Linked DNA regions of Mus musculus: regions 1, 2 and 4 are each reported to be linked to region 3. The links are microRNA targets in miRTarBase. Many come from high-throughput screens and were not tested one by one. Region 3 holds a microRNA gene; each other region holds the end of a gene's coding sequence. Distances are between the middles of the regions.

Region 1 (3,232 bases), not on the chromosome of region 3:
GTGTGCCTTTAGACCTCTGTACCATAAGGGACAGGTAGCTCAGTTATACTATGTGAATCACAGCCTATGCAAGGTAAAAAAGTTTATGATGAAACCAGTTCTAAAAGCCATTAACTGTTTCTCACATTGATGTCATATCTTTCTCAGAAAGATATTTGGTGTGATGCTGTAGCGGCAGAAAGGATTTCTAGGAAGTTAATGGGTCTGTTCTGTCAAGGAAGGCTGTTGACTCATAGCCAGATGTCACTGCACTGAATTAAGGATCTGTCATACTTGTTTTTTTTATTATACTTTTACTTAAAAAAAGACTATAATATGGTTCAGTTAATTTTATTACTTTAACAGATAGCAAAATTATTACTTTATTTTCAATGTAAAATTGTTTACCACCAAACTTTTTAATGTGTAATATGGGTGGGGATTTAAGGTTTGCTTTTCTTCTTTTTTTTTGTTTTTTTTTGTTTGTTTGTTTGTTTGTTTTATTTTGTTTGATCCTTAGAATCATCTACTTATCAAATTTTGTGTCTTGAATATCCTAGGTAATCATTCCTGGGGAATTTATCCAGAAGCCGCCTTTCCCTTGCCAGTGGATAATAATCTCCCCGCCAACTCGGCTTACCCTGAACTACCATCACCTGATGGGAAGATGAAGGTAACTGTTACACAAATCACAGTGGCCCTGAGCAGCTTAAAAAACATCTTCACGCCTCTCCTTTTTCGAGGACTTCTGTCATTTTTGACATGGTGGATTGCAGCTTGCCTCTTTTCTACAAGCCTTTTTGGGCTTTTCTATCATCAGTATTTGACAGTGGCATGAATTTCAGTCAAAAACGGATATCCAAGTCACACTTTAAATTCAAATATCTGTGCCCTTGAAGGATTGACAAAAGAAGAATGCAAATAGAACGGAGAAAAAAATTATTGGAGTGTTTTGTTTTGAATGCTTCCTCTGTACTCTCAGGGTGAATTAATGTTGTAATATTTAAAACTCATGAGATAGGTTGTTACACTGTTACACACTGTGGCATTGGAATTGTAACTCATTGAGAGAACTAATGTGAGAGGGCTCTCTGCAGGGGTAATCCTTCTGATTATCTTGGTTTACAGTTGCAAACCTCCAACAGTCTGTTAGACTTCTTCTAGGACTCCAGTTACTGACTGCTTTTCATGGTGTTGTGGTACTGTTACTACTCATAGTTGCTGCCTACAGAACAATCTTCAAACTGAGCCATGCTCGAGGGAAGGGAAAGGAACGAAAATTACTTCTGTTGGTAATGTATTAGTCTTAAAAAAAAATCCAACAGAAAGGAAGAGAAAGCTACTGTATATTACAGTAAGAAAAGCTGCATAGTCATTTTAAATTGAATGGAGATATAAATTACCTATTGTCTACAAGTACTGTTACTTGAGAGTAGCAGGAATATTCTTTTAAAGTGAATGCCACCCAGCTTGAAAGTTCTTTTTAAATGATTGGCCATATGAACATCAGCGGTCTCACTGTTAGTTTTGGGCCTTGCTGTATTTTATTTTTTCTTTGATTTTAAATAGTTATGTTTAATCTAAAAATATTTATCAATACTGATCAAATTTGAGAATTACTTTGCAATCCTGCTGACTACGTGTATGTATTGTGTATATATTATATATTAAATATATAATATATTGAGGTTATAAAAGATGAAAATATTGAATCCTTATAATATTTTAAGTTTCAGAACGTACGTTAAACAATGATTTGAATGAGATGTATTTGTATCTGGAAATTTCTGTTTGGAATGAGATTAAAATACATTTTTTTAAAGCTCAACAGAGTGTAATTTATTTGTTGTACATATATGATAATAGTACTTAAAATGTCATGAAGATTAGTTGATTTCTCACAAATTAAATTTCATTTTCTGTTTTTGGTTTTTGCCTTTTATTAAACATAAATTCTTATGTCATACGATATATCTAAATCCAGGTTCCTATCCCTCTAACTCCTCTTTCTGCTCACCTCCTCTCACACCCAGATCCACTCCCTTTCTGACTCTCATTAGAAAAGAACAGGCTTCTAAGAGATAACAACAAAACATAACAAAATAAAATACAATAAGAGAAAACAAAAACCATCATAGCATGGTTGTACAGGCCAAGCCAACAGAAAAATAAGATGCCAATAATAGGCATACGAGTTAGAGAACCACTCTGCATTTATTCAGCAGTCCCTCTCCATAAAGTGTTAAACTGAAAACTAGAGTATATATATAGGGGACCTGGTCCAGACCCATAGGCCATGCTGCTTTAGTCTCTGAACTCATAAGAGCTTTGCTCAGATGTCTGAGAGGGCCGTGTTCTGGTGTCCATTGTCTCTTTTGTCTCCCAGACACCTTCTGCCTCTTCTGCAGAGTTTCCTGAGCTCTGTGGAGAGGGATTTAATGGAGACAAATCCAGTACAGCTGTGTGTTCCAAGGTGTGTACAGTCTTATCTGTGTGTCTCTCTCTTTCTTCCCCACTTCATAATATCTGCTGGTGAGTCTCTATGTGTTCCCATCTGCTATAAGAGGAAGTGTCTCTGTTGTTGGCTGAGTAAGGTACTGATCTATGAGTATTAGGAGTCATTTTATTGTAACTTTCAACTGCCCTGCTTTCCATTCCTGCCCTCAAATGCCCTTCAGTTCTAGCTGTCTCCCCTCATTCCCTCTTTCAATCCTGTCTCCTTTCAAACTTCCCACCTCCTTTCCCTAGTCTGTCCACTCCTGACCACCCCCCCCCATTCCAATTTCATTCCAGTCATAAAATTTACTCTATATTCCCACTCCAGGAAAATCCATGTGCCCCCTCAGCGGTCCTTTTCTCTATACCAAAACCTCTCAGGTCTACATGTTGTAGCTTATTTATTACTTAAAAGCTAATAACTACATATAAGTAAATGCATACCATATTTATTTTTATGGGTCTTGGTTTACTCACTCAGGATGGTTTTTTTTTGTATCCATTTGCCTGCAAGTTGCATGATTTCATTTTTTAAATAGCCGAATAATACCCTATTCTGTATCTTCTGTTGAGGTACACCTACGTTGTTTCTAATTTCTAATTTCTGAAGTAGAGTAGCAGTGACCAAGGTTGAGCAAGTTACCTTGTGGTGTGATAAAGCATCGACCAAGGGTAGCATAGGCTGGATCTTGAGTTAGAGAATTCCTAACTTTCTGAGCAATCACCATACTGATGTCCATAGTGGCTACAGAAGTTT
Region 2 (3,251 bases), not on the chromosome of region 3:
TATGAGCTGGAAATACAGCTCAATAGTAGAGCATACATGAGGTCTAAGTGCAGGCCTCTTCATCTTCACTGTAATCAGATGGGGACTAAATATTATGGAAAACTTTAGTGAGTTTTTATTGAGTGACTGCATGTGCTGGGGGGGGGGGGGTTATAACTAAAAGCAATAGAGAAGACCAGACCAAATTGATTCAAAGACATCGTTAAGTACAGAATAAGATTTTCTTGTCATTAGACTCTTTGTTAACAGCAAAATAAAGAGAAAAAAAATGCTTCAATTTATCTTTTTCATCACAGATGAAGAACCACCTCCAGCTGATGGAAGAATAGTTTATCGAAAACCAGTTAAGCGTTCCTCAGATGAAAAGTGTTCAGGTTTAACAGCAAGCTCCAAAAAGAAGAAAACCAATGAAGATGATGTAAATAAGCAAAGTTCAGTTAGAAAGAACTCACAAAAACAAATAAAAAATAGCAGTCTCCTTTCTTTTGACAGTGAAGATGAAAATGAGTAAATATGAATATTGTGGACTTGGTTTCCTGTTTTTAAAAATACTGCTTTTGCTCCATCTTCAAGTGACACTGTACTACATGTTCATTGCAGAAGAACTCAGAAATACAGGGAGCGATTTCATAAAGTAAACCTACCCATTCCTGCCCCTTTGTTTGGAATGCCAGACATTCACTACTGCTAATGCTTTTTATTGTCTCCCTCCTATGGGTATGTATATATGTATATTGCATTTTTAAACAAAACTGAGATTGTTATATTTCTTCTTTGTCCTTCTTTCTTAGAATTACATTTGTAGAATTTTCTGATGTTGTTTATTTCAAAATCTAACATTAAAGGCTTCCAGAGGATTTCATAAATAGATCTGTCTTAGTCACTGTTCTGTTGCTGAGAAGAGATGACATGACAGCTCTTATAAAAGAAGGCATTTAATTAGGGGCTTGCTCACAGTTTCAGCTTGGTCTACTGCCATCAGGGCAGGAAACATGGCATCAAGACTGGCCTGATGCTGGAGAAGGATATACCTCAGAGCTATATCCTGATCCACAAGCAGGGTGGAGTGGGGTGTGGGGACTGGGGAGGAGTGGGGCCATTGGAGGGAAAAAGGGAGAGCCTGACTGAGCTTCTGAAACCTCAAAGCACACTTCCTCCAGTAAAGCCATATCTCCTAGTCCTTGTAATCCTTTCAAACAGTTCTACTCCCTGAGCCTCTGCTGTGTCTTTCTCATTAGTAAAACCCTGCACTTGATGAAGGCATGGCCTGGCTAAAAATACCTTTCTAAGCCAGGTGTAGTAACCTGTAACCCCAGCACATGGAAAACAAAGACAGGAGGAAGATCAAGACCCACTGCTCTGTGGAGTGAGTTCTAGACCAGCCAGGGTGACAAAGTGAGGTGCTGTCTCAAAAAACAAAGTAAGTGCTTATTTGAGCAGAACATATACTAACACTTTAATAATTCAAGAGTGTATATGGCCCCTGTGCAATAGCGGCAAATTCACAGGGTCTTCCACATTCACACAAGGAAACCTACAAACTGCAGCTCCTGCCACTTAAATGTATTCAGAAAAAGGGAGCCAGTGGTTGCTTTCCAATTTAGCGTTTTGAAAACACATTTTCTGTGGAAATTTTAATTCTTAGTCAAGAAAAACAGAAAATTTTAATAACAGCATAATTACCTTATAAAACAATCTCTTCATGTAACAAACAGTTCCACTGTTTTTCAATAATTTATTTAGAACCTGTGACAAGATCTCCCTGTGTATCACTGACTGTCCTAGAACTCACTATGTAGACCTGTGTAACCTGGAACCCAGAGGTCCATGTACCTCTGCACTCTGAGTGCTAGAATTAAAGACATATATCACCATGCCTGGCTAAAAGAAATTTGTTGGTTTTTTTTTTCAAGACAGGGTTTCTCTGTGTAGCCATGGCTGTCATGGAACTCACCCTGCCTTCCTCTGACTCCAAGTGCTAAGATTAGTACCACTGCTGAGCTCTAAAGCAATTTTTTAAAAGATGTGTTTTATTTTAAATTATATGTGTGGGAAGGGGACTGGGTGTAGCTCACCTCAGAAAAGCTGAAGCGCTATTTTTATTTTTATGTCTCTCTCTGCTTTCCTCAAGCCCAAGTGATGGAGCTTGAGGTCACCAACATGGGAACAGGATTGGATCATCAGGAAAGTAAGAGCTAGTGCTGCCATACCATGACTCTGAGACTAAAGAACCATGTCCTACACCATTCTGGGATGCCAGGCAGCTTCATCTGGTTCCTCCAGTGGAGCAAAGAGGATGAGGGGTGTATGCTGATGTCCCAGCTCCAGAAATGGTCCCACATGCCTTCCCATAAAGAGAAATGCACTGCTGGAGGGGAGCATGGAGGTCATTCCTGCTTCAACCCAGCCACTTTTATCGTCCCTGTGACTGTCTTTTGAGATTCTCAAGGATTTTACCAAGCTTAGATGTTCATTTTTCATATATTTTCTCACTTGTCAGAGCCAACTCAAAAACCCCAAGCATTTTACTCATTTACAATCTTTCCCAAATAGCGCCAGTTTCCATAGGACTGTAGTGGGGTTGAAGCAGAGTAATCTATAAAAACATCTGGCAGGAAGAGACATTCGGGAAAGATGGCCTAGTGATGCAGGTCTTTACTTTCAGCACTGCTCAAGCAGGTGGATCTACTTGAGGCTAGCCCAGTTTACATAGTGAGTCCTAGGTTAGCCAGTGCATCATAAGGAGACCATGTCATTAGAGTATCTATGGTAGAATGTGGCTTAATGGTAGAGCATTTCCTCCTATCACCAGTGCTAGATATTCCTAATAGCACTAACACCCCCACTAACCCAAATGTTAATGTCAGAGCTATCGTGATCTCAAGCTCCAGGTCCAATTCTCAGTGTTCTTCCTTCAGTTGCATTTCCAGGCCTCTGGATGGAAACTGACAACACACACTTGTTTCTGCAACGCTTTGACTCTTAATGCTTTTTTTTTCAGAGTAATTTGGGGTCATTCAGACATGCATTCCAAGGAAAAAGGATGGGTCAGAGGATCCAATTCACTTTTAGGCTTCCGGACAGTTTTACAAGCACAAGGCAGTGGGGCTGTGTGTCTGCATATAGTAGGCTCTTAGAAAACAATTATTTGATAAGTCAATGAAATGCAAAGACACTGTTCAAACTTTCAAATGGACTGTTTTCCCAAAACCATCACTTAAGGGAACAAAATCAGAAGTGGACAAAACTGG
Region 3 (3,251 bases):
CTTGACAGAGTCAGTTGGATCAGGAGTTCAAATTCGTGCTGAATTTCATGATGAGTTCATGACCAGCATGGGATTCATCTTATGCCCACCAAAAATGTGCATGTGTGTATAGTTGTGTGCATATTCACTTCTCTATATGAATATGCATATACACACATGCACACACATTCATAGGAATGGCCAGAGCTATGTCTCAGTTAGGAGGTGAGCACTCTTGCCAGTGTCAGGAGGATGAGGAGTTCAAAATCATGTTTAACTTCATGATGAGTTAGAGTTCAGCATGCGATTCATGTGATGTCCACCAAGAATGTGCATGTGTGTATAGTTGTGTACATATTCACTTTTGTATATGAATATGCATATACTCACATGCAAACATACTCCCACGAATGGCCCGAGCTATGACTCAGTTAGGAGGTGAATACTCTTGCCAGCATCATGAGGATGAGCAGTTCAAATTCATGTTTAACTTTTTGATGAGTTAGAGATCAGCCCGGAATTCATGAGATTTTCCCTGTGTTTGTGTTTATGTGTATAGGGAAGTATGCCTGTACATGCACGTATATGAACATGCATATATATATATATATATATATATATATACATACATATATATATATATACACACACACACAACTAGGGACACATACATGTGCACACAAACACACATGGCAGTCATCCATTTGATTTATACGTGCTTAGAGTTTCATTGAGTTTATATTCATGGTATAGGGAAAAATCTCACTTATCAAATGAAAACTGTTTGCCAGAGTTAGGAGTCTCAGGAGGTCAAATTCATGCTTAACTTCATGATGAGTTAGAGATCACCCTGGATTTGTGGGATCGACCCTAGTTATGTACATTTGCATATAATTGTGTGTGCACGTACATGTGTATATATGATCATCCCTGTAAATACACACACATACAAATGTATTCACACATACAGGCATGCACACTCACACACATAAGAATGACACTCATTGATCCATTTGAATGATATATGTCTTAGAATTTTGCTGATTATAAAGTAGAGGGACAGTGAATATTCTCTCTCACCAGGTGTAAACAATTGGCAGTGTCAGGAAGATCAGGAGTTCAATTTTATGCTTAACTTCATGAGCAGTTAGAGATCATCCTGGAATAATGTGATGGCCCCTATGTATGTGCCTGTGTGCGTAAGTGCCTGCATGTATATGCGTGTATATTTTATGCATATACATACACACACCTACACACACATGCACACAGACATGCGGGAATGGCACTCACGGATCCATTTGAATGATATGTGACCTACTGCTTTGGAGGTTATGTATGACTGGGCCAGGGTGAGGTCTCACAAACCACGGGAAACCCTTGGTAGAGTCGGGAAGATCAGGAGTGCAAGTTCATGGTAAAGGCATGATGTGTTAGAGGTCATCCTGGCATTCATGTGATTGCCCCTATGTATGTGTGTATGTGTTGATGTGTGTGTACATGTACATATGTGAATATGATATACATATACATACACGCACACATAAGACACATATGAGCACACAGACACATGGGAATGGCACTCATCAATCCATTTGAGTGATAAGTGACTTAGAGTGAAAATGCTTGCTAGAGTTAAGGGTATCAGGAGTTCAAATTCATACTTATCCTCATGAGAGATCAGCCTGTGATTCCTCCATGTATGTGCATGTGTGTATAGTTGTGTGTGCATGTTCATGTCTATATTTGAATATACATAACATACACACACACGTATAAACGCAAGCACACATACACAGACACAGGAATGGCATTCGCCAATCCCTTTGAATGATAAGTGATGTAGAGTTTTAGCGATTATGCAATAGGGGACATTGAATGGTCTCACCCACCAGGTGTAAAAGATTGACAAAGTCAGGAGGATAAGGATTGCAAATTCATGCTTAATTCAGTTAGAGATCATCCTGGTATTCATGTGAGGCCACCCATGTATGTGCATGTGTGTTTACTTGTATATGCATTGCCTCTGTTGACATGATATACAAAATATAAACACACGTGTATATGCAAGTACAGACACAGAGAAAAAAATTGCATTCATTTATACGTTTGAATGATATGTGACTTAAAGTTTTAGATTATGCAGTTTGGGACAGTGAATGGTTTTACTCACCAGGTGTGAAAGATTGTGGATCAGGAGTTCAAATTCATGCTTTACTTCATGATGACTTTAAGATATGCCTGGGATTCATGTGATGCCCCTATGTATCCCTATCTGTATCTGTTTCTATTGTGTGTGGATTTGAGTATATGGATGTACCTATCTACACAAATATATACATGTACACAGACACAAACAGAAACACACACACAAACATCAGTGCAACTCATCGATCCATTTGAATGACGTGTGACTTAGAGTTTTAAGATTCCTCAGTACTGAATGGGGAGAGGTCTCACTCAGCAGGTGAAATCCCTTGACAGAGTCAGGTGGATCAGGAGTTCAAATTTGTGCTGAATTTCATGATGAGTTCATGACCAGCATGGGATTCATCTTATGCCCATCAAAAATTTGCATGTGTGTATAGTTGTGTGCATATTCACTTCTCTATATGAATATGCATATACACACATGCACACACATTCATAGGAATGGCCAGAGCTATGTCTCAGTTAGGAGGTGAGTACTCTTGCCAGTGTCAGGAGGATGAGGAATTCAAATTTATGTTTAACTTCATGATGAGTTAGAGTTCAGTATGCGATTCATGTGATGCCCACCAAGAATGTGCATGTGTGTATAGTTGTGTATATATTCACTTCTGTATATGAATATGCATATACTCACATGCAAACATATTCCCACGAATGGCCCGAGCTATGACTCAGTTAGGAGGTGAATACTCTTGCCAGCATCATGAGGATGAGTAGTTCAAATTCATGTTTAACTTTATGATGAGTTAGAGATCAGCCCGGAATTCATGTGATTTTCCCTGTGTTTGTGTTTATGTGTATAGGGAAGTATGCCTGTACATGCGCGTATATGAACATGCATATATATATATGTATATATATGTATATATGTATACACACACACACACACAACTAGGGACACATACATGTGCACACAAACACACATGGCAGTCATCCATTTGATTTATGCGTGCTTTGAGTTTCATTGAGTGTATATTCATGGTATAGGGAAAAATCTCACTTATCAAATGAAAACCACTTGCCAGAGTTAGGAGTCTCAGGAGTTCAAATTCATGCTTAAC
Region 4 (3,000 bases), 27 Mb from region 3:
TGTAAACTCCCTGACAAGAGCTACACACTGAAGGGTTTACATCTAGATATTGCTACATGTCCAAAAGGAGAGCTTTAAAACAGACATCGTGGCTTTGGACAAAGTATTGCTCTTTTTTAAAATTCTTAGTCATTGATTTCAAAAAGGGTTAGAGTGGATCTGAAAGCTGGAAAGCCTTAGGGGTCACATTGCTCTTAAGACCAAGATATAAAATTGCCATTCAAGCCAGACAACCTGATGGTTCTAGAAGTCAGAGAAGAAATCTTGAGGGCCCAAGTGAATAATAAATGGTGCGACGCTCAGAGGCTGGCAATAGGGGCTGTCAATGAAAAAACCACCTACAGTGGAGAAAAGAGCAGAGAAGCAGAACTTTATGTTAATCTCATACAATTGGACGAAGCTAAGAGCTTCATTTATATTTCTCTGCTCTTTCAACTGTAAGTGGAATTTTCATTACAAAATGAAGGGTGGGACGGGCAAAAGGTGGGAGGACACTTAATTCATTACAGAATTTAAACAATTGAACTTGCATGGTTACCACTTCTAACATAGGGTCAACAGCTCCATTGTTTTAAGTAAAGCAGAGAAATGTAAAAGTTTGCAGCAACTGGGCAGGTTTACAACATGGTTAGTAACTTCCAACAAACAACAAAATTAAGAAGAAAGAGGGAAGACTTGGTAGGAACCATTTGAAATGACGGCCATCATGTTGGAGAACAGCACAGCTTCCTCCTCCATCAGAGAGGGGGTGAGTTATGAGGCAGAGTCAGAGACTGCAAAAGTCTTTTCTAAAGAGAAATCTCAAGGCAGATTCCAGCCTAGAGTCCAAATTTGATGGTCAATTTCAAATAACAATACAACTGCAACTGCCAATTAATAGTATTTCAAAAACAGAACCATTGTAAATATTTAATTAATTAAAAACTAGATACTAGCAGCCATGCTTTTTCTTCTCAGTGATGGCTCTGTTTCATCCATAGGTCAGCAAAACAAACCAATGAACATGAAAATTCCCAGCTGAAAAGGGCCCTGCTCCATTATGTCTTGCCACTAACACACATGATGAGAATGACAAGTTAAAGCTATTTTCAGCAAGTGACAAGGTTTTATTAAAGTATCACCCACCACTATTAGAAAACAAAGGTCAAGGAAAGGAACAAATGACTGTGTGATACACATCTGAGCAGTATTTGTGCCCGCAGGCTCATCTCGCATTCCCTTCCAAAGGAGCCTGGTACATTAAGTTTAGTAAGACCACTTTCAAGTGATGGGCACTGCTTGAAGTTTTGAAAAGGAATTTAACAGAAAAGTAGTTACTTCCTAAATCATTTTTAAGAATAGTGACTTGTGTCTGCAGAGGACTACACTTGTGCCTGAATGGGGGTGAGTACCTTAATGAAACCATTACCTTCTAGTAACATCATCAGCTTTCCAAACATGGTGAGAATGCAAGGAAGGACTTGGGTCTGCACCCTTCACAGACCAGCACAATGTTACTGGCTCCCAGTTTCTACCAGTATAATCAGGTGTCTTAAAAGTAAATGCTGACCCATGGCTGAAATCTGTCACTTTTCACAGCAGCACTCAACAAGAACTGGGACAATCAGAGAGCGAGTTTTTATGGGGATCCTGTTGCTGCTTTAGATTCTGATATCAAAGAAGAGGAAAGGAGACTCTTCAAGGAATTCCAAAAAAAAAAAAAAACCTGCTAATCATCTATCTACATGGAAAAAGTCAAGGAGTGAACACAGAGTCTTACAGAGTGAAGAAGGCCACAAGAACAAAAGAGGGTGATTGATTAATTTATTTTTTTAACTTGGAAATTCGTAAACTAAAATAATCACAATCCTCCTTCCCCATCTTTGGATGGTGCCATCATTTTAATAAGCAATGCTGGAATAACAGAATGTAACCTTATCATGGGGATGCTCTTGTACAAATGGAGTACAAAGAGCTTACAAAATGAATAGATTGAGAAATCATCTTTGCTTTGTTTTAGCAGCTTGCTTACAAATAAATGGGTTTCTAGGGCCAAGTTATTACTAGTTTTCAATTCCTTGAAATTTGATACCAAAACATATCAAAAATAATAAGATAAAACAATATTCAAACCCATATTTTATTGGCTTTAATTACACACTTCGTTATTTACAAAGTTAAAGTTTAAATGAAAAGTTTCTACTGTATTTAAAAAAAAAATAACTACAGCCCAAATTCAAGTGCCCTGGAGTAAGCACATATCACTCAGCTACCAATCAGTGACTGCATCAGGAACCAGGCAGTACTCTGTGTTACAACAAAGCAGTTTATTTGTAATCAGTGTTGAGACTCTATACATCCTTCACAAATTTAACTTTACATAATCTGATACTCTCTTAAAACGTCAACTTTGAGCTGCTAGACTTCCCTACAACGAAGGGGCTGGTATAAATTATTTCCAGGAATGAGGTACCGTTTCACAGAACTGGTTTCTTTTGTTTGTTTTCAAGTTTTAGAGAACTGAATTTGCATTTGTTAAAATCAAAAAGTAGGAAAGATGTTCTTTACAAATAATTTTGATCAAGTAAGTATGTGTTCAAAGAAAGCAGGATAAAAAGGCTTTTTCTCTAACATTCTGCATTGTACTGTATTGTTGTTCAATAGGAATGAGCTTCTGTCATTTACTAAAAGAATGAGTAGTGGGGAACAGGATATGTTGGGAATTTCATAACGGGTAACAGAACCATTCTCTTGGGCAAACCTACAGAGAAAAGAAACGGAGAGGACTCCAATAAAAATTTCAGGTTAAAAATTCTTACAGTAATTATCATTAACCATTTCCAGATTAGTCAGTCCACTTCATACCATTTTGGAAGAGGCCCACAAATCTCTCACAAATCAATTGCTCTTCTATCTTGATACATAATGTTTTCTGCTCTAAAATAAAAAGCCTGTATTATAGAATGACACTCAGAATGACATCTGAGTGAGCAGGCATGAATTCTAAAGATGTAAAGCAAT

What was found. Region 3 holds the annotated microRNA mmu-miR-466a-3p (UAUACAUACACGCACACAUAAGA, at 1,506-1,528, shown strand). A microRNA usually pairs through its seed, bases 2 to 8, with sites in the 3' UTR of a target mRNA and lowers its output. Matches are read on the target gene's strand: a 7mer-m8 pairs with bases 2 to 8, a 7mer-A1 pairs with bases 2 to 7 and ends in A, and an 8mer does both.
Region 1: the mRNA of Tmem161b is a reported target of mmu-miR-466a-3p. Seed matches in the 3' UTR shown: 7mer-m8 at 1,623-1,629.
Region 2: the mRNA of 1110059G10Rik is a reported target of mmu-miR-466a-3p. Seed matches in the 3' UTR shown: 8mer at 719-726 and 8mer at 727-734.
Region 4: the mRNA of Strbp is a reported target of mmu-miR-466a-3p. Seed matches in the 3' UTR shown: 7mer-A1 at 2,332-2,338.

The regions. Positions count from the first base shown.
Region 1 is chr13:84,294,064-84,297,295 of GRCm38, forward strand. It overlaps Tmem161b (transmembrane protein 161B), which reads left to right. Exons shown (of 12, transcript NM_175187.5): 12 at 540-1,903. The coding sequence ends at 817. Among named protein-coding and RNA genes, the nearest start is that of Gm41011, 48 kb to the right of the region's middle.
Region 2 is chr9:122,945,154-122,948,404 of GRCm38, reverse strand. 1110059G10Rik (RIKEN cDNA 1110059G10 gene) reads left to right here. Exons shown (of 3, transcript NM_025419.4): 3 at 297-3,251. The coding sequence ends at 511. Among named protein-coding and RNA genes, the nearest start is that of 1110059G10Rik, 4.2 kb to the left of the region's middle.
Region 3 is chr2:10,477,633-10,480,883 of GRCm38, forward strand. Mir466e (microRNA 466e) reads left to right here and starts at 1,456; the gene lies at 1,456-1,539. All of the region lies in intron 10 of Sfmbt2 (Scm-like with four mbt domains 2), which reads left to right. It overlaps Mir669j (microRNA 669j), which reads left to right and starts at 278; the gene lies at 278-398. It overlaps Mir467a-2 (microRNA 467a-2), which reads left to right and starts at 1,166; the gene lies at 1,166-1,248. It also overlaps Mir669a-4.
Region 4 is chr2:37,581,367-37,584,366 of GRCm38, forward strand. It overlaps Strbp (spermatid perinuclear RNA binding protein), which reads right to left. Exons shown (of 18, transcript NM_001379315.1): 18 at 1-2,740. The coding sequence ends at 2,664. Among named protein-coding and RNA genes, the nearest start is that of Gpr21, 66 kb to the left of the region's middle.